Linked DNA regions of Lonchura striata. The protein of the gene in region 2 purifies or fractionates together with the protein of the main gene of each other region. This does not show direct contact. Links are inferred from orthologs where the notes say so. Each region holds a gene or a part of one and is shown on either strand. Other genes may lie near its edges. The genes, in order: SEC23B and SEC16A.

What was found.
Region 1: the proteins of SEC16A (region 2) and SEC23B purify together in Homo sapiens (affinity purification with mass spectrometry; 3 studies listed by BioGRID and IntAct, with this or other methods). This does not show direct contact. The link is inferred for Lonchura striata from reciprocal best matches to the Homo sapiens genes SEC16A and SEC23B.

Annotation. Positions count from the first base shown.
Region 1 is NC_134605.1:22,406,500-22,418,508, forward strand, and holds the start of SEC23B (protein transport protein Sec23B), read right to left. Parts: upstream 7,556-12,009; 5' UTR 7,485-7,555; intron 5,761-7,484; 5' UTR 5,745-5,760; coding exon 5,524-5,744; intron 5,511-5,523; exon of another isoform or gene 5,155-5,510; intron 4,521-5,154; coding exon 4,463-4,520; intron 3,879-4,462; coding exon 3,792-3,878; intron 3,613-3,791; coding exon 3,376-3,612; intron 2,958-3,375; coding exon 2,872-2,957; intron 2,410-2,871; coding exon 2,265-2,409; intron 1,724-2,264; coding exon 1,565-1,723; intron 884-1,564; coding exon 768-883; intron 1-767. UniProt on the Homo sapiens protein: Component of the coat protein complex II (COPII) which promotes the formation of transport vesicles from the endoplasmic reticulum (ER).
Region 2 is NC_134624.1:8,860,321-8,872,329, reverse strand, and holds the start of SEC16A (protein transport protein Sec16A), read right to left. Parts: upstream 5,359-12,009; 5' UTR 5,341-5,358; intron 1,514-5,340; exon of another isoform or gene 1,413-1,513; 5' UTR 1,339-1,412; coding exon 1-1,338. Other genes in the region: NOTCH1 (neurogenic locus notch homolog protein 1), read right to left, coding at 11,670-12,009. UniProt on the Homo sapiens protein: Acts as a molecular scaffold that plays a key role in the organization of the endoplasmic reticulum exit sites (ERES), also known as transitional endoplasmic reticulum (tER).

The DNA.
Region 1 (12,009 bases), on a different chromosome or scaffold from region 2:
CATGGGTGCCTCCTACAAAGCCACACAGGTTAGTGCTCCACCTTTGTCAGTTTCTTTTCTCAATTCTGCTTCTTGCCATTGCATCAGCTGCCTTCAAAATGTTTGTGTTTCAACCCTGGAAAGCTCTGCTCAGCCTGCTTCCCTGAGCAAGGCTGGAACCAGGGTGGCTGCACCACGGCAGCACAGAGAAGGTGCTGGGCCTCCTCTAAGTGCCCTGGCAAACCCAGGCCTGACCAGATGCAGCTCAGTAACATATCCACAGGGTCAAACACTCTCTCTTCTCCCTGCTGAGCACTAAGGGGTTATTTTAAACACCTTGCACTTGCAGTAAGACATGGCAAGTCCCCAAAAGGCCGGGTTAGCACACAGCCTCCCTCACAGAGACCATTTCCAGCAGTATGGAACACAGACATTTATCCCGTCAGACATGTCACTTAAAACTGGGTCCAGGGAAGTCAAGAATCCCTGGAGAAAGCATAAGCGAGCAGTGAAGCAGAGACTATCTGGCCCACACAAGGAAAGCTTCTACCCACCACTGAGTTTTCTAACAGCAGTGCTAATTCACATGAGACTCCAGAAATATGGACTGGCATCAGGTGAGGCTTGCCATATAAAATTTCTGGCAAATTCAAACCACAGTTTAGAACAGAACAATAAAAACCCTTCTGCCCTGACAGCACATCTAATTGCTTCCTGAACTATCCTCCCTATCCAAAAAAAACCCAAAAAGTGGGTGCCAACTGTGTGCTGCCCTGCTGTGAACATACCCAGTGAGGTTTGTACAGCACTTCATCTCCAGCAGCCCTGTCTGGTCCAGGGCACAGGCGTAGATGTCGATGCAGTGCCCGTTGGCCGCAGAGCGGTTGGCCAGAGTCTCGTAGTGCTGGGAACACATATCGGGGGTTAGGAGACTGCAGTGTGCAATTTCTGCTGCTCCCCACCTCAACACGAGGTACAGATGGGGCAAACACCAGTGCTGTGGTAACTGAAGAGATGTTGGCTGCAGCACACTGCTTCCTTCTAGTATGAGGGATGCATTCAGATGAGCCAGAGTTTATTGTCTCAAATACAAACAGTGCATAAATGATAAGGCATCATCTAGTCTGTGATAACTTGGTGGGAACGCAAAGATACCCAGGTGATAGTTAAAGAGCAGGTGTCATCCTGCTTTCTCTAAGCTGACAGGCGCATTTAATATCTGACATTTTTACTGTTTTAATGGTTGTTTTGTATGTCAAGAAGATAAAGGGGGCTTTCTGGAAATAAGCAGTTCTTAGGAGATTTCTTCCTCTCCAGAAGGAAATACAATGATGTGGATGAACAAGCTCTCCACCCGCCATCAGCTAAGAAACAACACTGAAATACTTTCTTCTCTGACAAGGCACAAGACTGTGATGGAGAAGTAACTAGGAGGAAGCTTTTCTACTCTTCCCTTAACCATCCTCATAATTTAGTGTACACAAAGACTCAGATTATTTCAAGGACAACCATGGAACCCATGTAGTGTTCTGACACAACATTCAGTTTCAGCTTTTAAACACACCCATCAAGGCCTAGTACCCACTTTGGTAGCCTTCTTCATGAACCTTGCATTGTCCTTCTCTATGTCATGCCAGGAACGGATGGGTGTTTTCAGTTCATCTCCTACCACCATGCCTGGCCCTTGTGTTGGTGGCCCACCTGTGAACAGCATTATTCTGGCCCCTGTGTTTGGAAATGTGCCCTGAAATAAAAACAAAGACATATATCAGAGAGAGGGAGGAGGGAAAAAAAAGGGAAACTAATTAAGTAGCAACAATGTTTTCTTTAGAGAGGGGTCTGCACATGCTTCTGCAATGGCAGTGGAGACCTGTCCCTGCTAGAGGCCACCTCGATAAATAGTGATGCATTTCCTGACAGTCACAGCACTCAGATCAAGTTTAAACTCAAATCATGTCCTCAAAACAGGAAGCCAGCAGTTTCTGTTCCCTTTACTTATATCTTAGATGATACTTAGAAAAATCCAGTGCATAGTATCACCTCTTGTATGCCAACATACACAAGAATCAGAGACTTTTAAACACCTGAAAATTTTACCATTTAGATAGAACCTTCCAGCCCACTCTACATCAGCTGGTGCTAGCACAGCTCAAATGTCAGTACAGACAAATTACACTTCTGCACCCCGCTACAACCCAGCTGCACTGACACCTGCACCCATCTCAGGGAGCATGGCTATGTGCTTACTTTGGCCTGCTCATCTCAACCAACAGCATTAGAAATACCTCCAATAAGCCAACTGCAATTGAAAGAGCCACTCCAGTAGAACGCAAGGGTCTCTTCCCCTGGGTCACTGGCCATGGGTCCCTCTGCAGCTCTCCAAGCAGATCTGTTAAATTCATGTCAATCTTATGCACGGGCTGCAGGAACCTGCAAAAATTCAAATGCAGTGTTTTCCTGCTTCTAAGTTTGGAGAAGAAAAAAACTGCCTCTTGTTCCTGCCACACATAAATTGTACTGAGACAATAATCAGAAGAAAAGAGACATGCAGCAGGTTGTCTTCTTACATGCAAATTTTCCAAGATAACAAGCCTGTGCAAAATAAAAAATTTAATCATAGCAAGACATCAGAAACTGACAAGAAGGCAAAGTCACATAAAGAAAAAGAAAGAAGTTCAAAGGTGAGTTTGCTGAAAGGCATGAGAGCTATCACTGAAAAAGAGAAGCTGAGAAAGAGAAAACTGTTTTTAATGGAGGTAAGTAATTGTGACAAGACAATACGATTTAAATCTTCTTTCCCCTCCCAGGAAACCCAGGGTTAGAGGCATGACCTACAGATATAAAGGGGCATAAAACATGTGCCCTGCTGTCTCCTGTGCTGGTAAAGCTTACCTGCTGGAAATAACAGGCTGCTCTGGAGTTTGAAGAGGTCTTCCCTGTTGCATGGGGACAGCTGGCCTTGAAAGACCAAGCATATCCTAAGAACAGTAAAGAGGAGGCAGAGATGTACTATTCAAACACTAAATATATTACTTACATTATTACTTAATATACTCTAAAGCATGCAATACTGTAGCATTAAATATACTTAAATCTGTAAAATTATCCATCTTTGCACTGCCATTAGGAATGGATCATGGGTCCATTATGTGAGATACACAAACTCAATCCTGAACAAGCTTCCAAGACATTTACAACTCAAAGTAAATGGCTAGAGTTGTACTTATACAAAAGCAAAAAGACAGGACAGATAGTGAGAGGGCAAAAGGCTCACAGTTGAGGGCACTAAGCCCTTCTTTCTCCCAGAGAGCCCTGAGCTTGAGAGCCCAACAGAGCTGAGAGGTACAAGCCCCTGGCCTGAGGGATGGCAGAGCAGCCAGGGATGGCAGAGCACACCTGTATCTGCTTGGCTGTCAGGTCCTTGGTGCCCCGGAACACGTAGCTCTTGGAAATCCCTTCACAGCTCAGCTCGTGAACCTGGACCATCCGGCCAAAAGTGATGAGCCCCACCAGGGCATCAGGAGGCAGCAGGCTCAGGGACATCTGCAGGGACTCCTTCAGGGCCTGCAAATCCTCCTCTTCCAAGCACGTGTCCACAACATACAGGAAGATCAACGGCGTCTGCGGACCTCGCTGATGTGGGAAGAAATTACATTTTCTAAAGCCTCCAGCCAAGGAATAAAATTAGCCCTTCTTAAGCACCTTGCAGACATGGTATTTATTTGCATTATCCTAAGAAAATTTTACACATATATCATTTGTCACAAACAAGACAATTCTGGGAGCTTCAACCTCGTCTGTGGCTCATTTACCTGCACTATGTATTCAATTGTTGAAAACTGAGGCATAAGCTCTGCTGGTTGATTGACTTCAGAAATGCCAGCATAAGCTGGGGGAAACTGAAAAAGAGAACAAAAAATTAGGACAAGGAAGCTGCAGAACAAAAATATAGGGCTCTCTAATGCAGCACAGAGCCTGCCCTGCTGATGATGTAGTTATTCAACTTTTTATTTACTGACACTGCACCAACCTGATTAATTCATTATAAAAAACCCACAGTGCTTTTCCTAAGAACAGCCAACAAGGGGCCAGGATGGACAGCTGCTCAATCCACTGTAAATAAAAGGTAAGGCTACAGCAGCAATAATGTACTAGTTGAAATTCTTTTAGCCGTAGTTTCTGATGGCAAAAGTCTACTCAAACCTAATGAATTCCATATTCTGCAGGAATAGTAAATATCAGATGCAAAAAACACACTGGGACACATAGAACAAAATAGCATTTTAATCTCTTTTCTATGCTCTGCATGCCAGCAAAATCACTGACAAGACGTCAGGTAAACCAGACTGTACTCTGGCCTGGGTTCAGCAAGAGAAGAAGGCCAAGGGAAAGGATCTAGAGAAGCAGAATTTACATTTAATGTCCAGGGAAGGCCATCAATAAAGTGTTCACTGAAAAGGTCAAAGTTCTTTTTCCAACTTACCTGGTTTCTCTGAAAACAGAAGTTACAAGCCCAAAGCTTGGCCCGATAGTCAACTTGGCTGCAAGGGAAAGATGAGGCATTGGTGTGACTTCAGGAACAATTTTACAGGAATGCTTCACAATTAATTCATTAATCCATGCTGGTTCACAGCACTGAGGAAGAAACAGACACTCCAGCTTGAACAGCAAGTGTTTTAGGGATTCAGACTCTGGTTCTATTACCAGGAAGTTCATTAGCTAATCCAGCCCTGCCGTTTGCAGGCTTGTCAGCATGAGGGACCACTGAGCTCTCTGAAGTTCAGCCCTTGGCAGACACAGACTTGGGTCTACTAATTATTTCACTACACTTAGGCTAATCTCATTGTCTTATTGTTTGTGCAGCTGTAGCACACAAGTGTTCCAGTCTCAGAGCAGCAGGAGCCATCCACCCAGATCTTGTGCAAACACAGAACAAACAGGCTGTTCCCTGTCCCACAGAGTTTACTCTCCTCAGCCCAGTACAACATCCTGCTAGTGCAGGATGCCTCGCCACGTTCTCATTCCATGGCTTTGATCTCATTTCAATTCCTCTTATTGGTATTGCCTGCTTTTTCTCAGCCCAACACCATGCTCCCAATATGCATGATCATCTCATAATTTGGGACCGAGATATTCCTCTAAAATTATTTCATTATGCTCATACTGGAAACTGACCTACAAGCAGCAGGGTGCGTAGGAAGCAGGAAAACAAGTAAGCATCAAGTCCAGAGCACAGTATCAGTACAATGGGCATCTTTGTCTACCATGAGTTTGCTCTTTGTCTTCTATGAGGAAAATTCTCTGGGATGCTGAGAGGACCCTCTGCCTTAACAGCCTCTCCAAAGATCCTCCTGTGTCCTCTGCTCTTGCCAACTCTAGTAACAGGCGTGTTGATGTATGGATTTTAACAAGCTCACTGCATCTAAATGAAAGAGGCTGCCAGGCACTGGGCAGAGAAAAAGGGGAATAAGAAAGTAGTGAAGTTCAAATGAAAATTAGATAATGTCCAGCCCCTTCCAACATCCCCAGCTAAGCAATTCCTACCAGAGTGGGTTGAGCACAGCTTTGCAGGTTGGCCTGCTGCAAAGCACAGGTTCATACTGCACAGGAGGCAGGTCCAGACGCTCCTTCAGCGGGGTCAGGAGACAGGCCAGGGGCACAACCATCCTTGTGGCCTCCAGCCTGCTGGAGGGCCACATGTTCCAGCTGAAGCGCACGCCGTCACGCTCCTCGTTCTGCTGGATGAACTCCAGGTACGTCGCCATGGCCCCACTGAAGCTCCTGAAGGACAGAAGAAGGCACAGAAGGTTGGGGCAGCAGCCACTTGTGTGGACAACAGGCCTGCAAAGGAGCTCAGCAGATCAACTACAGGTGGGGGCACAAGACACTGCCAGGACAAAGCTAGCACAGTACAATGAATTAATCCCATTATCAAGGAAACCACGTGACTCCATTAATCTCTTCTGTCCAGTGCTCTCATCAACATTACAGCCAATTAAAACACCACCAAGTCCAACAAAGAAACAAGGAAAGCTGACACTCAAAGTCAGAGCATAAGAGGTTGTTTTTTTTCTTATGATACACATTTAACACGTCAAAATCCAATGAGGTTCATGCTGGCCTCAAGGCAATCCTGCCTGACTGGGTCAGTAAAGGAAAATAGGCCAGATTTGCAACCCATCCTGGAGCCTTCAGCTGAAACACTGCAGGGAGAAAAGGAGGCCAAGTCTGAGACCAAAACAATCACAAATGCCACCAAGCTGCCAGCCTGACCTGCTTACAAAGACAAGAGAGTACATGACAAAATACCAAAAACGATCTTTTGGACACCCACACTGCCTAGCATCATTGTTCCACTGCCAATAAGGAAAGAACTGAGAGTCCAGAAGGCTTCAAAAAAAAAAAAATCAAGGAGGAATATTCCCAACACATTCTCTGTGTTGTCTTACTAAACTCTTCAAAATAAGACACAAACAAGAGTTTCCAGGCCATCACTGCTTTTGATTTTTCTGAGAAAGGCAAGAACAAGCTTATCAAAAAACTTACTTGTCAAATCCAGACCACAAACACCACACAGCACTAGCAGCAACTCACTGAGCCAAAAGCAGCAGCTCCACAACCTACTTCAGACAAGGAAATTCAGAGGCTCACCTACAGCTGCAAATGCTCCAGGATTACCTTACTCCTGATCCTCACTGCAGATGGGATATTCAGGAGGGCTACTCACATGAGAAATCAGAAGCAACACCTCCCCTCAGAGGAGGAGAAGTTTTGGTATAACGTTTTCCTACAGAACTCCAAACTCACTGACGTTTTCCTCTTCCTTGCTATTAAGGATGTAAATCAAGCTTAAGGAGAACTGCCCCATGTTTCCACCCCCCTGAGTGGATGGACAAAAGAAGGGTTCACAACACATCCCCACTACAAATAGATCTGTCAAGGTGAAAATCAGAGCTGAGTCTTCCTGTAAAAGATCCCGCACATCAGAACAGCAATATAAACATTTGATTTATTCCATGTTTCCCCAGCTGTAGCCCAGCATCACTTCCCTGATTGCCATGCTGGGTCTGGCACGGGCTGTGGCCCTACTTTGGGGTCAGGACAGCGGGAGGACAGGTGTAATCGCTCAGCACGGCTGCAGGGGACACCGCAGGTACCACCTCCGCCCCTCCGAGCACCGATCCCCGGCACGGCCACAGGGCAAAGCACTGCTGGCCCTCCACAGGGGCACGCCTGACCCCAGCCCAGGGGGACACTGCGGATCCCCAGCCCGGCCAAAGCGAGCACCTGCTGCTCTGTGGGACACGGCTGACCCCATGAAAGCACCGCGGACCATGCCCAACTCCCCTCAGGGGACACCGCTGACCGCTCCCTCCAGACCCTGCCGCAGGGACACCACTGGCCCCCTCACAGGGGCCGTCACCCACCGCTCCCCTCAGGGGACACAGACCCCTCATTCCCGTTCCCGTTCCCATTCCCTTCCCTCGGAGCCCCGCCGCTCCCACCTGCCCGCGCCGCTCGCGCCGCTCCCTCCCAGCACGCCCCGCGCGCCCGGCAAGGCCAGCTCAGCGGTGCGCGCTGCCCGCGGCCAAGATGGCGGCGGCGGCGGCACGCCCGCCCCACCCCCGCTGAGGCTCCGCCGCCATCTTGGCTAAGGGCACGCTGCGCCGCCCTTCAGGAGGAGGGGAGAGGCAGGCTCCTTCCAAACATAGCCGGGCGGCGGCGGCAGGGAGCTCGGCTCGGCTGAGGGCGGCAGGTTCGCCTTGGAATGGCGACAGGCGGGGTGTCCCTGCTAAATGTGGGATGCGGTGCCGCCTTCCTACCCTGGCACGGCATGAGGGAAGCAGCCCCGCCCTCAAGGGGCTCGGCTGCTTGGGAGCGCGCTCGGGTGTGTTCGTCAGGGAGCATTCCCAGGGTTATGAGTAGCGCTCCACTAAAAACACCGAGACACTTCTTAAAGAAATAAACTGCGAGCCCCACAGAGTCTCAGTTCCCAGCTCCTCTCTCGGGCCGAGGGTTCTGTCCCCGGACACGCTGGGTCAGCGGCACACGCTGGGCAAAGGCATGAGGCCATCTATTCCAGCAGCAAGGCGGGGACAATCCATCGGGTTTTCCTCCCGTTCTGTTCGCTGACAGAGCTTTACCCCCACATCTGCTCGAGGCCACAGTGGTTCACCCTTCTGCCAGGAAATCTGTGCCTCAGCCTACTGGGGAGAGCCCTACAGCGCCCAGACCCTCCGAGAGATCCAGGGATGGACACAATTTTCAGGGAGCCTGTGGATACGAGGTACAAGTTTGGCACACCTGAATTGCCCCAGGAATTTGTCCCTGCCTTGAAATTAGACAAATATGTGTCCTTCTTTCATTGCTTCCATCTTGTATTGCTTCCCAGACTCTTCCAAAGCCAAGAGCTTGTCCTAGTGAGCCCAAGACAAGAATCCTTCCCTGCAGCTTTACGTGATGCTGTGCAAGTGGTATTTGTCCTATCTGAATGCACGGATGCAAATCCATTCCTGAATCCTGCAGACTTTCGAGGTGCAAAGGTATTGCAGGGAAATACCTCAATTCTCTGCTTCTAAGAGTTTTGGTGTTTGCTTTACATTCATGCAGCGGTCAGCTTACAAATATCTCCCAGGCTTCTGTGTGGGCACCGCTCCACCGTTGCTTAGAGGAAATTATGCCCTGTGGTCAAGTCTACTCACCCATGTCCAGCTCTGGGGTTTTTTTGGGGTTTTTTTTGTTTGTTTTTGTTGTTGTTGTTGTTGTTGTTGTTTTTGGGGTTTTTTTGGGGGGGGTTGTTTGTTTTGGTTTTTTGTTTTGTTCTTTTTTCCCTGTTTTATTTCTTTTAAATGCAACAAAAATCTGGAATATGCAGAGTACAGTTCCATGTCCAAAACAAAGCAAAATGAAATGCTGTCTGAGGTGAACATTCATTTTTGCCTTCCCAGCTTCCTGACATCCCAAATAGAGAGGGAATAAAAAAGTAGAAGCATGCTACTGATATGTATATGCTAAAGTGTGTAAAATTCTAATTACTAATATTACTAACATTCTCAGACCCAGGACTGGCTCTCCAAGTAGGAGGCAAAGCAAATCTGCTCTTCTGAAGTTGCCTGTTTGTTTACATCTTCCTCCCACTGCCACATCTCAACAGCAAAGAGCCTTACCAGGACCTAGGGCTTCAAGGCCATAGTGCACCCCTCTGCAAACATTAGATTAACTAAAATATTGAGCAATGATTGTGAGTTTGTGTCCTGCTTTCAACTTTCAGAGTTAATTTTCCTCCCTTGGAGCTGGTTTAGTGTTGCATTTTTTGATTTAGGATTATGAAGATATTGATACACCCTGATAATTTAGTTCTTGCTGAGCAATTCTTATGCTAAGTCAACGACTTCTTAGGTTCTTCCTGCCAGCCAGGAAAGCTGGGGGTGCGCAATTAATTTGGAAGGAGACAAAGACAGGACAAGTGATCCCAAGTGGTTCAAGGGATGTTCCTTGTTCCTTATCATATAGTGAATGATAAAACTGGGAAGAGTTGGCTGCTGGTTTCCAGCCCTCTGCTCTGGCACTCCTTGGGCAACGGTCAGCAGAGGAGGAGCAACTGTATTGTTCATCACTTAATTTATATAATCTCTTACCATTATTTCCCCTTCATTTTCTGCCCTGTTAAACTGTCCTCATCTGAATCTACAAGCTTTACTTTTTTTACAATTGTCTCTCCTATCCCACTGGGGAGGAAGTAAGGGAACACCTGTGTGGTGTTTAATGTCTGCTGGGTTAAACCAAATCAGTTTGGAAGAGGAGCACAATCTTAAAGCCCTGTGTCTGTGGAACAAATACCCAAGTAAAAGCTTTCCCCAAAGCATTTCCTGAAAGAAACACAAGCTTGCTTCAAAAGTGAGAGAAAGGAAAACACCACAGGCTGCCTACACAAGCCCCAGCTTAGTTTGTGTTAAACAGCTGTCAGAGAGGAGAACTTTGAGCTCTGGTTCCTGTCCTCCCCATTCTCCAGAAGATCTCCTGAAGAGTGAGCAAAGTCCCATGACTGACTTTCTCATGGCAGAAGTGAACATTTTCAGCAAGAACTTGGACATCACCTGTGGAGCCTGTCATGCTACCTTCCAGTCTCCTCCAGGAGCTAATCTAGGCTCAGCATGGCTGAGGAGGGCCTAGCCTTGCATTTCTCACAGGTGAAATGACACAAAGTCCCAGCCGAGCAGAGCAAGAGGAGGGAAAGGTGGTCTGTGTGTGGCAGAGGACAGCTCTGTTTGAGGTGTCTGTACCCTGTTTCAAAGCATCAAGTGTTTAGCAGCAATAGGAGACCCAGTTGTCTCCACTCACTACAGTTTTTTCCCAAAATCAAATGCATGTGGAGACAAAAAAGAAACCAGTAAGGCTTAAGACCGAGCTTTTTTCCTGTTGGAGCCCTGGGGGAGCCATCCCAGGAAGAGACAGGATATGGTGCTCTAACAGCACCAGCGGAACAACAATTACCCGGATCGGTTACCATCGAAGTACAAATACAAAACCCCCAGCCAACCGACCAAACCCAGGAAAAACTAAACTGCCACTCAGCCACGGGGAAAATTTTCACTATCGAAGCTTCAAGTTTGCTATTCATCCTCATGTTTTAAACTTTGGAGTGTAAAGGCTATACATGCCAGACAATACCTGCCAGCTTTACACTGTCAGTTCACAATCCAGCCAGCTACCATAGTGAATGTTTGCCTTGGAATTAAAACACAATTTTGCACTCGACTCCATGTGGCATCTGGGTGTGCCCACCCTCCAACTTGCCTTTGGAGAGTTGGCTACTACTAGTGAGGCAACCACTCACAAGAGGCTCGTGGGTTGACAGCAGGATCAGGGCTCATGAAAACAAGAATGAGCTCTCTCCAGCTCAGGAGAATCTCATGGTCCTGCAGCAGCTGAACTCTAACCTCTTGCATGAGGCCTGTGAAAATAAATGAGCAGATCATGCTTCCTATTTGTCATCCATGTTTTAAGGGATAATTCAGCTTTCCACATGTAAATGTTTTCATGTTGAGTACTGGAGCTACTATAGTAGTATCCTCAAAACATTACATTTCATACCAGTTTGGAACAGGGACAGCTTCACCAAGGAGAAGATTGACAAAACTCAGGACACCATTAATGCTACCTTGTAGCATTTATTCCCTTTTCAGATAAGAATGTCAGCCTAATACATCAGCCAGGTTCATGAAGAACCAGAGTGACAGAAAGATCATTTGTCTGATTCATATAGAAATAGATCAGACAGATTGCTATCTGTAAGAAACTAAATTGAAATTACTTTCCCCTTATAGGCACTTTTCTCCAAATCTGAGAAGTCTTGTTACAGCTTCAACACTAAGAAGTTTGAGATACCACAAAGGTCATCTAAGCCAGATAAACACAATGCCAAAATTTAAAGAGCTTAATAAACCATCTATCTACTTCCTAAAGCTGTTCACTGAGGAGAAGCTTTCTCTCCTTTTTCTTATTGCCAATGAATGTGATTATAGAGCATAAAGTGACATACCTGCATGATAAAGCCCTGTTGTTTCCCTGGAAGTTATCTTCTAGCTGTAGTGGAGCACAAACATTGTGTTATCTCTGCAGAAGCAGGCTCAGGACCCCATTGTGTCAGGTCCTCTTTAAAGACAGGAAGACAAAGACAACCCCAGCCCCACATCTCAATGAAATTACCTTGGCTGGAATAAAGGATGTCTGATCCAAGGCGCCTTCCAGGGAAGAGAGCAGCATTTTCCCCTTGGCTTCTCTGTGCTGAGTAGTTAAAGGGGGCAGAGGGAGAATGAAGCTCCAACCATTTCACCCCCACATCTCTTTCCTAAGAGCCCTTCTGCCTCTGTAGAGATATGCATCCCTTTCACCTGGAGACAACACTGCAGCAAAAGGAGAGCCTGCTGAAGGTGCTCACCTCGCTGGGACAATCAGAGTCCTTCCATGGACTTGCCAGCTTATCAGGTGCTCATTGTTTGCTCCAGTACACGCTCAGCTGCTCCCACA
Region 2 (12,009 bases):
CTTAGCAGCCTGTGCCTCCTGATGACTGACAAGTTTAGGGAAGTACTGGACATCCATTCCTTTCTGTACCATCTCACCAACTGTACCCAGCTGTGCCTGAGAGAGAATATTGGTTGCTACCTGCTGAGGATGCACAGGCTGGTGATACAGGGAGGCTGAATTTTGCTGACGGGCATCAAACTCTGTTTTCTCCATTACGTATTTTTTTTCAGATGAAAGTATTTCTTCATTTTCTGCCTCATCCCCTTTGAAAAACATGGAGAGAGTTCCTGGATCTCGATCTGTGGGAATAGATCTATTTGACATTTCAGACATAGCTGGAGACTGGTTTTTGGGGTTGTTTTCCTGAGCTGTGGGGAGGACAAAACCAGAGCCTTGCAAAGGTGGCTGTGGGTAAAACTGTTCCTGGTAAGGTTGGTTTGACCAAGGGTTAGTCATTTCTGCATTCTGCCTAAACACATTTCCAGGCTGGATGCTGTTCATGTGATGACTGCTGTTTGCAGGGCCATTTTTGCCATTCTTCTCACAACCAGAGGATAAAGGCGCTTGCACGATGTTTTGTGGAATACCTTGGTGTCCAGGACCCTGCGGGACATTTGCGTGAGGAGGAGGGTGAGAAGTGCTGACAGAAGGCTGAGAAACGTTATGAATGTCAGTCTGAGGAGACGGCTCAGGATAGGGCACAAAATTCCGAACTGGAGACTGCAGATTCCCTGGGACAGGCCTCCACTGGGGCCCAGGCTGCTGGGGAGGTGGTGGGAAGAGTGCTGCTGTGTTGGGTGCTGCAGCTGCATCATTGGGATCTCTGCCAACATCCTGCCTAGCTCCAGGTTTGTTCGCTGCAGACACCATTCCAGGATGCACACTGAAAGAATTTTCCACTGCTGCTCCTGGGTTATAATGCAACGGCACTGCAGCCCCCCGGAGTCCGAGATCGGCGTTGGGATGCCCTTCTGCAGCACTATTTAAAACATACCCCAGGGACGGAGGAGGAACTGGAAGGCTGGAAAAACTACTGGTGCTAATGCCTGCCTGAGAGCCGGGCGCTGACAGAGAGCTGTGTGGTCCGTGAGGGCTGTCCCCGGCGCGGGCGGGCGGCGGATGCACCGGGGCTGGCTGCGGGAAGGCCGGCGCGCTGCCCTTGGGTGGGTTCTCCAAAGGGGAGCCCTGGGGGGTTTGCCTGCCGAAGGCAAAGGGGTCTGTCACGGGCTGCACCGGCGCAGCCGCGGCGTTTGCCCGCTTGCCGAGGGGGCTGTTCCTCCAGTACAGGTTGCGGGCCACGCCGGCGGGAGGAGGAGGAGGCGCCCCGGCAGGGACGGGCTGCGGTGGCTGCTGCATGGTGGCCTCCCGGCAGGGTCACACGGTGACAAACAGCCCGCGGAGGCAGCTCAGGGATGTCTTCTTCTGGCCTGCTGAGACAACACAGGGATAAGTCAGTTCCCTTTCTCACAATATGCGCAGCACTTGAGCAACTTTTATTTTAGAAACAAAATCACGCGAAGAATTTGAAGTGGAAAATATCTCCCTGTTCTTCAGAATTCCTAAGGAACCAACACACTCCATTGTATTTCTCCAGCATTAATGAAGTGTAAGGCTGTGTGGTAACAATGCACATTATTTAACAATTCTATTAAATATATCCAAGTAGGATAATGAAACACAGTTCAGACCTGCACTAGTGTCAAACCCTCCAGTGGTATCCCACTGTTACATTTCCCAGAAATATGCACCACAGACAGGACAGCAACCAGCCAGGAACAGAGCCTGCAGCACCATGGCCCTGCTCAATTTAATTATGAAGAGTTGAGAAGTCATGATCTAACCCTAATTCTGTTAGAGATGATCTTCAGCCCTGCTGCACTGGTACTCCATGTGACTGGACCTTTGCACAGGAAAGATGAGAAGCATCCCTAGAAGGAATTCATCAGATGTTATCACCCTCAACAGTCCACTTATGGTTTAACTAAGAAAACATCGTGTGGCACTGTACTGTTATTTATTTTGAGAAAGGCAATTGCATCTTCATCACAAATATTCTCTCTTCTAGATGAATGATGCATAGCAAAAGTGCATTTAAGGATAGAAAAACAATCAACTACCCCCACCTATCAATGACCATTCTCACTTTAACACCAGAGGGACTTTGGCACAGTATTAGGGTTACAGCTGCACTTCAGGGTGGAAAGGACACACTCAGAAGTAATCCAACCCCAGCTCCAAACAATACCAGGCAGGAATCTGGTACACAGGAAGTTCAGTAAATTCATCAGGGTGTCTTTTTCAATTTTATCACCTCTTAACAATCTGGGGAGGATGGGGGCTGGCAAACCAGAGGAATTCATCAATACTTAGCCAGTGGAGCTCAGTGAAGCCTTATCAGCATATGATAATCTTGTTTTCTCATAGCACACAACAAACATTGTTTATAATATGCAGAGTGAAGTACCCACAGCAATTGCTCCACACCAGATGCTCTTCTGCTTATAAAAGAAAAAAGCTGTGCAATTCTCATTTGGAGTTCTTCTAAGATTCAGCATCTTGTCAGTAAGAGTAATAAAATGGGCAGCCAGAAAAGTCAGATGTTTGTAATCAGGACAAAACTGTAACAGTTATAGAGAAGTTCAAATGCAAAGCACTTCTGGTTTCTTGTTATCAAAAATACTACACGTATTTCATAAAGATTTATACCTAAAATATTCCAATAAAAAGCACACTGAAGTACCGCAGCACACAGCCTTTACTGGACATCAGAACAACTCTTCCTAAAGAAAAATGTCTCCAACAGCCTTGTGTAGAATCCAGGTCCCTCTTTCAAACAGAGACTCTCAATTTCTCCCCCATATCCATACATTCCACAGCCATATCTAGAGTTAAGACTCCATAAATTTGTGTTTTATTAAGATGGGAAGGATACCAAACAGATTTCAACAGAGGCATTAGAGCTCCATCAGTTTCACACGTTACTTGCATGTGACCACCGTTCTTTCTGAAGCACAGCTGCTGAATTCCATCAAGGAATGCTTACAAAGAGTTTCAGGACTTTGCAATCTTTTCTCCTGTTACAATCCTGAGGTGAAGGTTTTCCAGCTGGCCGTGCTTACCAGCCTTGCTGCCAGCCACGTTTCCAGGAAGTCCTGCCTAAACCCCCACCCCAATTTCCACATGCTCTTCTGGGCATCCCCATTTCTTTTTCATCATGTTCTTTGTTGTATTAACCAGATTTCAAAAACCCCTCTCTCCCCTCCAAATAAAAGCATGTGTTTATACAACATACTTTGGGCTGGGGAGGAAAAAAGCTAATTAAACCATCTGCCAAGGCTTGTATGACCTGGAAAGCACAAACTGCACTGACCAAAATATTGGTATCTAATAAATAGCTCTGTTTTTCATAGAAAAGTTGTTTCTGAAATACAGCTGAGCACAAAAGCCAACTTAAATACCCACTTCCACGTGTCTAATGTGGACTTTACCCCTTGCAGCGTCATATTAAAAAAAAATCTTAATAATTTACCATATTTTTGTAACAGCCAGCACCAGTAATTAGCTAATTAAAATAAGTGTAAAGTCCTACTTTTAGGCAGAACTTGCCATTCCTCTAACAGGATCTTTGATGGTGCATGACAGAGGTTCAGTATGAGAGATCAGCTTCCTCAGAAGCAAAGTTAATATTAACAGATTGCACACAGTAGTAAAAGCAAGCAAGATTTGAGGAACTGAGTCCAAATAAAATGAATGTGCCCATGTCGAGTAATTTAAACAGAAGATAACTCAGTGCTACTGACCCTCCTGTGCCTCATCCAGGATTAACAAAAATGCTGATTTTAAGGAATTTAGAAATAACTACACAAGTTAAGAGCAATCCACCTCTGCTTTGTAGAGTTTGGAAATTCTTAACTTTCAGCTGGTTTATTAATTGATAAAGCAGAGTAGCCTGCTAAACATGAGTCACCAGGAGTGCAGAAGGCGTTTCCAGTGTACCAAAATAACATTGCCAAAAAGGGAAAAAGGATTAAAACCCTTTAGATGAGGCCATAAAATTAAGTTCACCCAATGAGCTCTATAGCTTCATCTATAAGTAAATAATTCCTCTGGGGGCAACTAATTAAAACCTATCTAAATAAATTACTCTTGAACAGAATAACTACGGCCATAAAGCAGGTTACAGAGGACAAATATTAACTCTCATCCTCACAAGTGAAGCAAACAATAAATAACGTGTTCACATACACAGATTCCTAAAAACAAAATGACTAAAAAAACCACCAATAACAACTACAAAAAAACCAACCAAATAAAAAAAAAAAAAAAAAACCAAAAAAACCCCAACAACCCAGTGCAATCTCAAATACAGAACATCTGGAAAAATGAGATTTGCAGCTTTAAAATCAGCAACTACTTTTTCAGTTTTATCTTACGTAGGCAGCCGCACATCTGCACACATGTGGGTGACAGATTGAACACATTCTACATCACTCACTCTCCTGACAGATTCCTACCAGGCTTTTCCTCAACAGCAACCAGAGTTATAAATGTTATCCTATATATGTATGTCGTCTAACATATATGTTATGTATGTTAAAATGTAGCGACAGGACAAGGGGAATGGCTTTAAACAGGCACAGGGCAGGTTTACTGAGGTATCAGGAAAAAAATCCTTCCCTGTGAGGGTGGGGATGCCCAGAGCAGCTGTGGCTGCGCCTGGATCCCTGGAAGTGTCCCAGGCCAGACTGGACAGGGCTTGGAGCAGCCTGGGACAGTGGAAGGTGTCCCTGCCCATGGCAGGGGGTGGAATTTGATGATTTTTAAGGTCCCTCCAAAGCAAACCAGTCCGTGGCTCCATCAGAACAGCTCACTGGGAACCAAAAGCACAGAGGCAGCAGAAAGCATTCCGGTTTATTCTAAAAGGATCCAGTCACCGGTTCTCAGCCCAGCAGGTGCCGAGGCTCTCCGGCAGCCGCACTCCTGAGTCAGCACCAGTTGCACCCACCTGGGGCACCTGGCAGCTCGCAAAAAACAACCCAAACAACCCTGCCCCGGCAGCAGCGCTGCCAGCGGGGACAGCCACAGCCAGCATCCCTCGGAACCCTCCCCCGCCGCTCCCCCGGAACAACCTCCGGAGCCCCGCAGAGCCACAAGGACCGCCCAAGGAACCCCAAACCCTGCGGGAAAACCCCCGGCTGCGGCAGCACGGCCCGCCCCAGCCGGGCCCGGGAGCGGCGGGACCCGCCGGCTCCGTGCGCTGCGACAGCCCCGAGGCCCGGCGGGGCGGGCACCGCGCCTCGAGCCTGACGCCGCTGCAGCCCACCCGCGTCCTTCCTCTCCGGCAGCGCCCCGCGGTACCTGGCAGCCGCCGCCGGCCGAGGCCCCTCAGCAGCGGGCGCCGCCGCCCCGCGCGGCCCCAGCGCCGGCCGCCGCCATCTTGGCACATCCGCCTCGGGGTTCCGCCGCCGCCGCCGACGTGTCACGGCGCCGTGACGCCACCGCGGCGCGCGCACCCGGCGGCGGCGCTGCCGTGCGGCCGCGGGTTCGAGTCCCGGCCGGGGCGGCTGCGGGATGTAGGATCACAGGTTCGAGTCCCGGCTGGAGCGGCTGCGGGATGCAAGGTCGCGGGTTCGAGTCCCGTTCGCGGCGCCTCCCCTGTGCCGCCGGGGAGTGGCGGAGCGCGGTGCGGTGCGGGGGTCGCGGTGCCCTGCGCTGCCCGGTGCGGGTGCAGTGTCGCGGGCGGCCGCCAGGGCGGGACAGAGCTCCGCCGGTGCGGTGCCGGCCCCGCGGGAGCCGCTGCCCATCGCGGGCCGGGGCGGGGGAGGCTCAGGGGCTCCCCGAGAGGAGGAATCCGTGCCCACGGAAATGAGGATGCCTCGCGGAGCTGAGCTGTGACTCGCTGCACAGCGAGGTCCTGTCCTGCACGTCCGTGGGGGCCTAATTAGGAAAGGCAAATTAACTGGGATGCACGTGTCCAAAAACAGGATCAGAAACTAATTCCAGAATCCTTAAGGCTGAAAAATCCCTCCAAGATTACCGTGTTCACCACTAAACCCCGTCCCCAAGTGCCACATCCGTGTGCCCTTTTGAACGCTCCAGGGATGATGATTCCAGCACAGTTCTAAGGTTTAGCCACCCTTTCTGCCATGAAATTTTCCCAAATAGCCAATTTAAGCCTCCCCTGGCACAACTGGAGGCCGTGTCCTTTCACCCTGTCCCTTGTGTCCATCCTCCCGTCAGGGAGGATGAGGTGATGGACAGGGCGCAAGGAGATGATCTTGAAAGTCCCTTCCAACCCACACAAGTCTGTGACTCCATAAAAACAGCTCTTTGGGAATCAAAAGCGCAGAAGCAACGCAAAACATTCCCTCCTGAGCCTCCTTTTCTCCAGGCTGAGCCCCCCCAGCCTCTCTGGGTGCTCCGGACCCTGCACCAGCTTCGTGGCCCTGCGAGTTGCAGCTCCATTTTACACAAACACGAAGCTTTTTTAGGGGGGTGAACCCCCGTTCCAGCCACCAGAAGAATGCCTGTCACCCACCAGCACGGACACTGTCACACCCTGCACCCAACAACAAGCCTTGGAGAGGAAAACACGAGCAACCTAAACAAACATCTTAATCAAGGGTCACTATCAGTGCAGAGCTGTTCCTGCATGCTGGATCATTAAAGCAGAGAAATATCCTCAAAGCCCTGGCCAAGCAGGGGAAGCAGCCTTTGATGCTGGTGTGGGAACCAGAGGCAGCGCTGTGATTTTTAAGTGCCTTTCATCTCCCTCTTTTGTAGGAACATTCTTAAAAACCAGCTTGTCAAACACCATTTCCCTGCGCAGGCAGGAGTTGCAGATGAAGCCCTGCTTCTCCCTTGATATTTCCCCCAACAGGTGTAATCTGAGGAAACATGATTTTAATTAGCTCGATTGGCTTTTTGTGTGCTAAATAGCATCAATAGCTGACATCTGTGTCTATAGTTAGATATTTATGTTACATGTTTAACCCCCTTATATAGGGGGACATGATGCAAACACCAACAATGGATCTCACCTTTGCTGTTCTCCTGATAAACACGTGATTATAAAGAATTTCTACATTAAAGCATGCAATCCCTTTTTAACCTGATGTTTTCTAGCTGGTTTGCTGTACTCAGCAGTAGTTCTGGACTTGAGTGACCCATTATAAATGAAAATCCCTGCCAGTGAGGACAGCGTGTGTCCTTCTCTTCTGCTTCACAGAATCGCAGAATGGTTTGGGAATGACCCTAAAAATCATCAAATTCCACCCCCTGCCAGGGCAAGGACACCTTTCACCATCCCAGGGTGCTCCAAGCCCCGTCCAGCCTGGCCTTGGACACTTCCAGGGATCCAGGGCAGCCACAGCTGCTCTGTTCCTCAGCTCACCTGGGATACAACACAAACAATTCTGACCTTTTTCTGGTAATTTATTCAGTCTTCAGGTTGCACACAACCAGAAACACGACCTTGCCCCACGGGCTTGCTATGAAAAGGATCATTCTTTGAGTTTAGAAACGTGGATAAAGGCTAAAGGAGAGTATCTCTATCCCTTACTAGCATTCTGCACCATGATAGCCAACTGGACAACCTGAGTCTTATTTATTTACTCATCCAGTTGCTGTGATTATTCAGACTACCCCAGCCACATTAACCCCTGTTTGATTTTAAGCCCGAGATGAATTTGGCTCCTTTTGCACATTCTTCAGGGGCTGATTTCAGCTTCAGCAACAATTCCTCAATCAGGGCTGGAGCAGCTGCGAGCAAACACCGACAGCCTGGAGGGAGAAGCAATACAGAGTAGCAGTTTCTAAATGTCCCATCTAATTGAGCAGGAATAATGAAAACAAAGAATGAAAAAAAAAAAAAAAAACCCAACAAAAAAACAAGCCCTCCAGCAGGTAAACAAATAGTTCAGGTGCAGGGATTCCTCAGAGCACCAACATACCTGCCATGGCAATAGCCGGTGCTAATCTTGTTTTCCGGCACCCTTCCCTCGGAGCAGGATGTGATTTTGGTGCCTTTTTCACCTGGAATGCTGAGACAGCCGTGCTTGCCATGATCCAGTCACTCCTTGGCATCTTCTGGTGCTGGGAGAGCTTCAAATTCAGCTCCCAAAAATCTTCACCTGCACGAGGCGAAGGTGAGCTTGTGGTGGGGCAGCGTGGGTTGGTTGGTGTGGGAAGAAGCCTTAAGTGTGACAGGAGAGTTTGAAACTGGGGCCATTTCTCTTGTTTCTCCTTTAATTTAGCCTCCATCCCAGCTGGATCTGTGACACCACAATCATCTCATGTACCCACAGGTTGGTTGGTCACCAGATGCCTTCATAAAGCAAAGTAATTTGGGGCTAAGCACTTAAAACCTAAATTTTTGCATCCTTTCTCTCCTACTCCTTAAAAACCTTTGCTGATTTCTAGTTTGAATTACCTTGTGGACAATTAATTAATATCCATCCCTTTGCTTCTTTCCATGGTATTTAGCCCCCCTCTTTCCTCATCCTGTCCCTCTGATATGGAAAATCCCCTGCTTTGCATCCCCTCTTGTTAAACGAGCCCACATGTGCTGCCTCTTGCAATGTCACATTGTTTTCCATGTCCTCATAAACATTTTTTTTTTTTTTTCATCTATTCCAGGCCAAATTTCTGCCTTGCCCACGAGTGCCTCAGTTTCACTCTGGATGAGGCAGAGAGGATCCTTCTAAGGCCTCCTCACTTTGGGATGTCCCAGCCCCACTGGCAGCAGCGGGGCCGTGCTGGGCTGGTTTTGGGGTGGGAATGTGTGGGAGAAGCCTGGAAGGCTGGGCAGTGTGGGATTCCTGAGCAGCTCATGTGTGAGTCACGCTGGAGGCAGACAAACTCCATTTGGTGCATTCCAGATGGGATGCAGGCACAGGAAGGGGGTGACACATCCCTGGGAAGCCCAGCTCCCTCCAGGATGTCCCTCTGGGTGTTGAATCCACGTTTCTCAGGTGGAAGACAGGTTTTGTTCTCCCTTAAAACACTCCTTTCCATGGAGTTTGAGGCTCTCTTTCCTGGAATAATGGCACATCCCTGACCTCTGAAGATGCATTTCACTGCTGTGAAATAAAATACAATAAAATAAAATAGAAAATCAAATAAAACGCCACTGTTACAGCACCAGTTGTACAGCAGGTGTTTGGTGGCCCTGGATCTATCTGGGGATGGACACACACACAAACCCTCTCCCTCCCCAGCCACCGAGTGGAAAATACCAGCATTCCAGGCTTATGTGATTTGGGAGGAGGGCAACAGCTCCACTATTTATATCCAGTTATCTGGGGACTTTGCAGCTGCATTTGCACTGCAGAGTCCCTGTGGGGTAGAGAAAGAATGAAATGAAATGAAATGAAATTACCTTAAAAATCTTGAGCACAGCAAGGACAGCAAACATTTCTGGGTGGTGTTTGTGCCCAGAGTGACGCAAGTAAAACTCTCCCTCTGGTGCTGCTGTTCCTGGGTTTTTTGGAGATGCATGAGGGACATTCTTTAAAACAATTTTTCCATGTTTCCCCTTTTAGATCTTGACTCGATGGCCTGAGGATACCAAAGCAGGTGAAGAGCTAAATGGGCAGAACCTTGCTCAGGTATCTCAAATCAGTGAGAGTTTAGCAGAAATTAAAGAGAAATTTTCATTGTCCAAAGCTCTTCTCTGATTTTTTTTTTTTTACACAGAGAACAAGATGGTGAGGAAGCTCCAGTCCTCTGTGCAAGAAGCAGCTCTGAAATCCAGAATTCAACTGACCCGTAACAGAAACACCAAGTTCCAGTTTTAGTAAAATCTAGATGCCCAGAAGCATCATTTATTGCAAATCAGTTAACCAAAAAAAATACATCATTTTTGCAAACTACAACTTTGCATGTAGATAACTTTATTACAGAAGATATCTTTTCTTAAACTACACTCTAGTTTATAAAACATAGGAAGATTCAACACCACGTGATGTTTTTATCACTCATATTAGGCGTGTCACAATAACAATGGTCTGAAATGTTAACTAAGATGAGTGCTCAGGAAGGCGCTGTGCCTTGAGAAATATCCATTTTATTTGGTGTTCTAATAGAAAGGAATGAGGAAAAGGAACCCTTTTCTTAGGTTTTCTTGATTAACTGCTCTCTATCTGCCTGTCCCATACACGTTATCTAATTTTGGGGTGTCTGCTTGCTTTTGCACCCGAGTGAGTGATATTCCAACACCTCTATAAGGTGATATATTTATGATATATTTAAGACTTGCTCATTTAGATTTTTGAAACAAAATCCACCTTTTCTTGAAAAAAAAAAAGCCCAAACCAAAAAAAAAAACCAAAAACCAAAAAAAAACCCCACCCCATATTTACAAACATTAAATCTGCCACAGGCTTATACTATATTTTACATGATACACAGAAAGAGTGCACACCAATATAAAAAAAGATGCATCACTCCAGGCTAACGTCACAGAACAAAATGTCAACGTTTCACAGCACAGCTGTGCTGGCCCCTCGCCCTCCAGTTTGGCCAGTCCAGCCTCCCACCAAAACCAGCAGCACATCCCACTGGGCACCCAGTGGGGGCTCTGCCAGAGGAGCGGGGCTGGCAGGGTGATAATGCTTTGTAATCTCACTCGGGGTGTCTGCACTGCCAGACACGCCTTCTTCTAAAAAATAGGCAGGCCCATCCTTAAAATAAGGATGTGGTTTACAAAGTTTATATTGGCATTTATTTCTTCAAACAGTTACTCAAACACGAAAGCAAAACAAAAAAACCAGTAAAGATATTCAAAGTAAAATTAAGTCTCCTTTGTGTATATACTCCATAGTTATGGGCTTGCTCTCTTGGAAGTTTGGTAAATACATTTCTTTTTGATGGGGGACAGTATTCATGTTTTGTAGGGTTTATTTTTAGCTTAGAAACTGTTCTTACAGGTCTATAATCCTGCTTTTCTTTTTCTTTTTTTTTTTTAGATCATAAAAATCATTTAAATATATATATTTTTATATATATAAAAACAAGAGAGAACAAAAATTTCTGTTATCAAGGCAAATGTACAACTATATAATACTGAAATTTAAACAAAGATTCATGACTGGTACCATAAAATGTCCTCTCATATAATTGCAAAGGAAACATTTTAAAGTACATTTTAAAAATTTGTCCATACTTAATTTTTTTTTCCCCTTAAGGAGTGGTATTTTTAGTCAGTTTTTTCCTTCCCCTCTTCTTTCTCACCTCTCTTTCTAAATTGAAAGAGAAAAAGAATAAATTAATGGCATTTCAGAATCACAAATCGTTGCTTATAGCTTTACATAAACATTTCCTCTCAAATCAAACACAGTGAACCCCCCCAAACAAAACAGAATGTCCTATAAAAACCTAATTTGTTGATTTCTCGAAACACAACTGGTGTCCCACACTGAGTTCTTAACAATAGAACATATAAATAAAAAGGCAGTGTTCTCATGTAAAATAAAAAGTACATAAATAAATACTAAAAAAAAAAAAAGGAATCAACTTGTCTTTTTCTTTTCTTTTTTTCCTTTTTTATAAAAACATATTTAAAAAAGATCCTTTAATAAAAGCATCCGACGTCCTTTTAAAAAAAAACCCAAAAAAATCTCCCTCCTGCGAGGGAGATTCTGGCTCGCAGTGAGCGTCTCTAAAACACCTTTTTTTGTGTTTTTTTTTTACTTGAAGGCCTCGGGGATGTGTCCCATCTGTGACTGCATACTCGTGGGAGGGCTGGAGATGCCCTCGGACCAGTCGGACACGTTGGAGTGAGGAGAGGAGCTGGACCACTGGTCCGGCGACTCCGGCGACGGCGTGAGGAAAGGGTGGTCGGGCACCTGGAGCTGGTGGCTGGGCGTGTTGTCCATGGGGGAGGAATAACTGTGCTGGGAAGGAGGGGTCAGGAACTGCGTGGTGGTCATGGGCTGGGCGAGGGAGGAGGGCAGGGAGGTGGGCAGCATCTGGGAATCCTGCGGCAGGATGGTGTGCACGGCCATGGCGCTGCCGCTCACCGGCTGC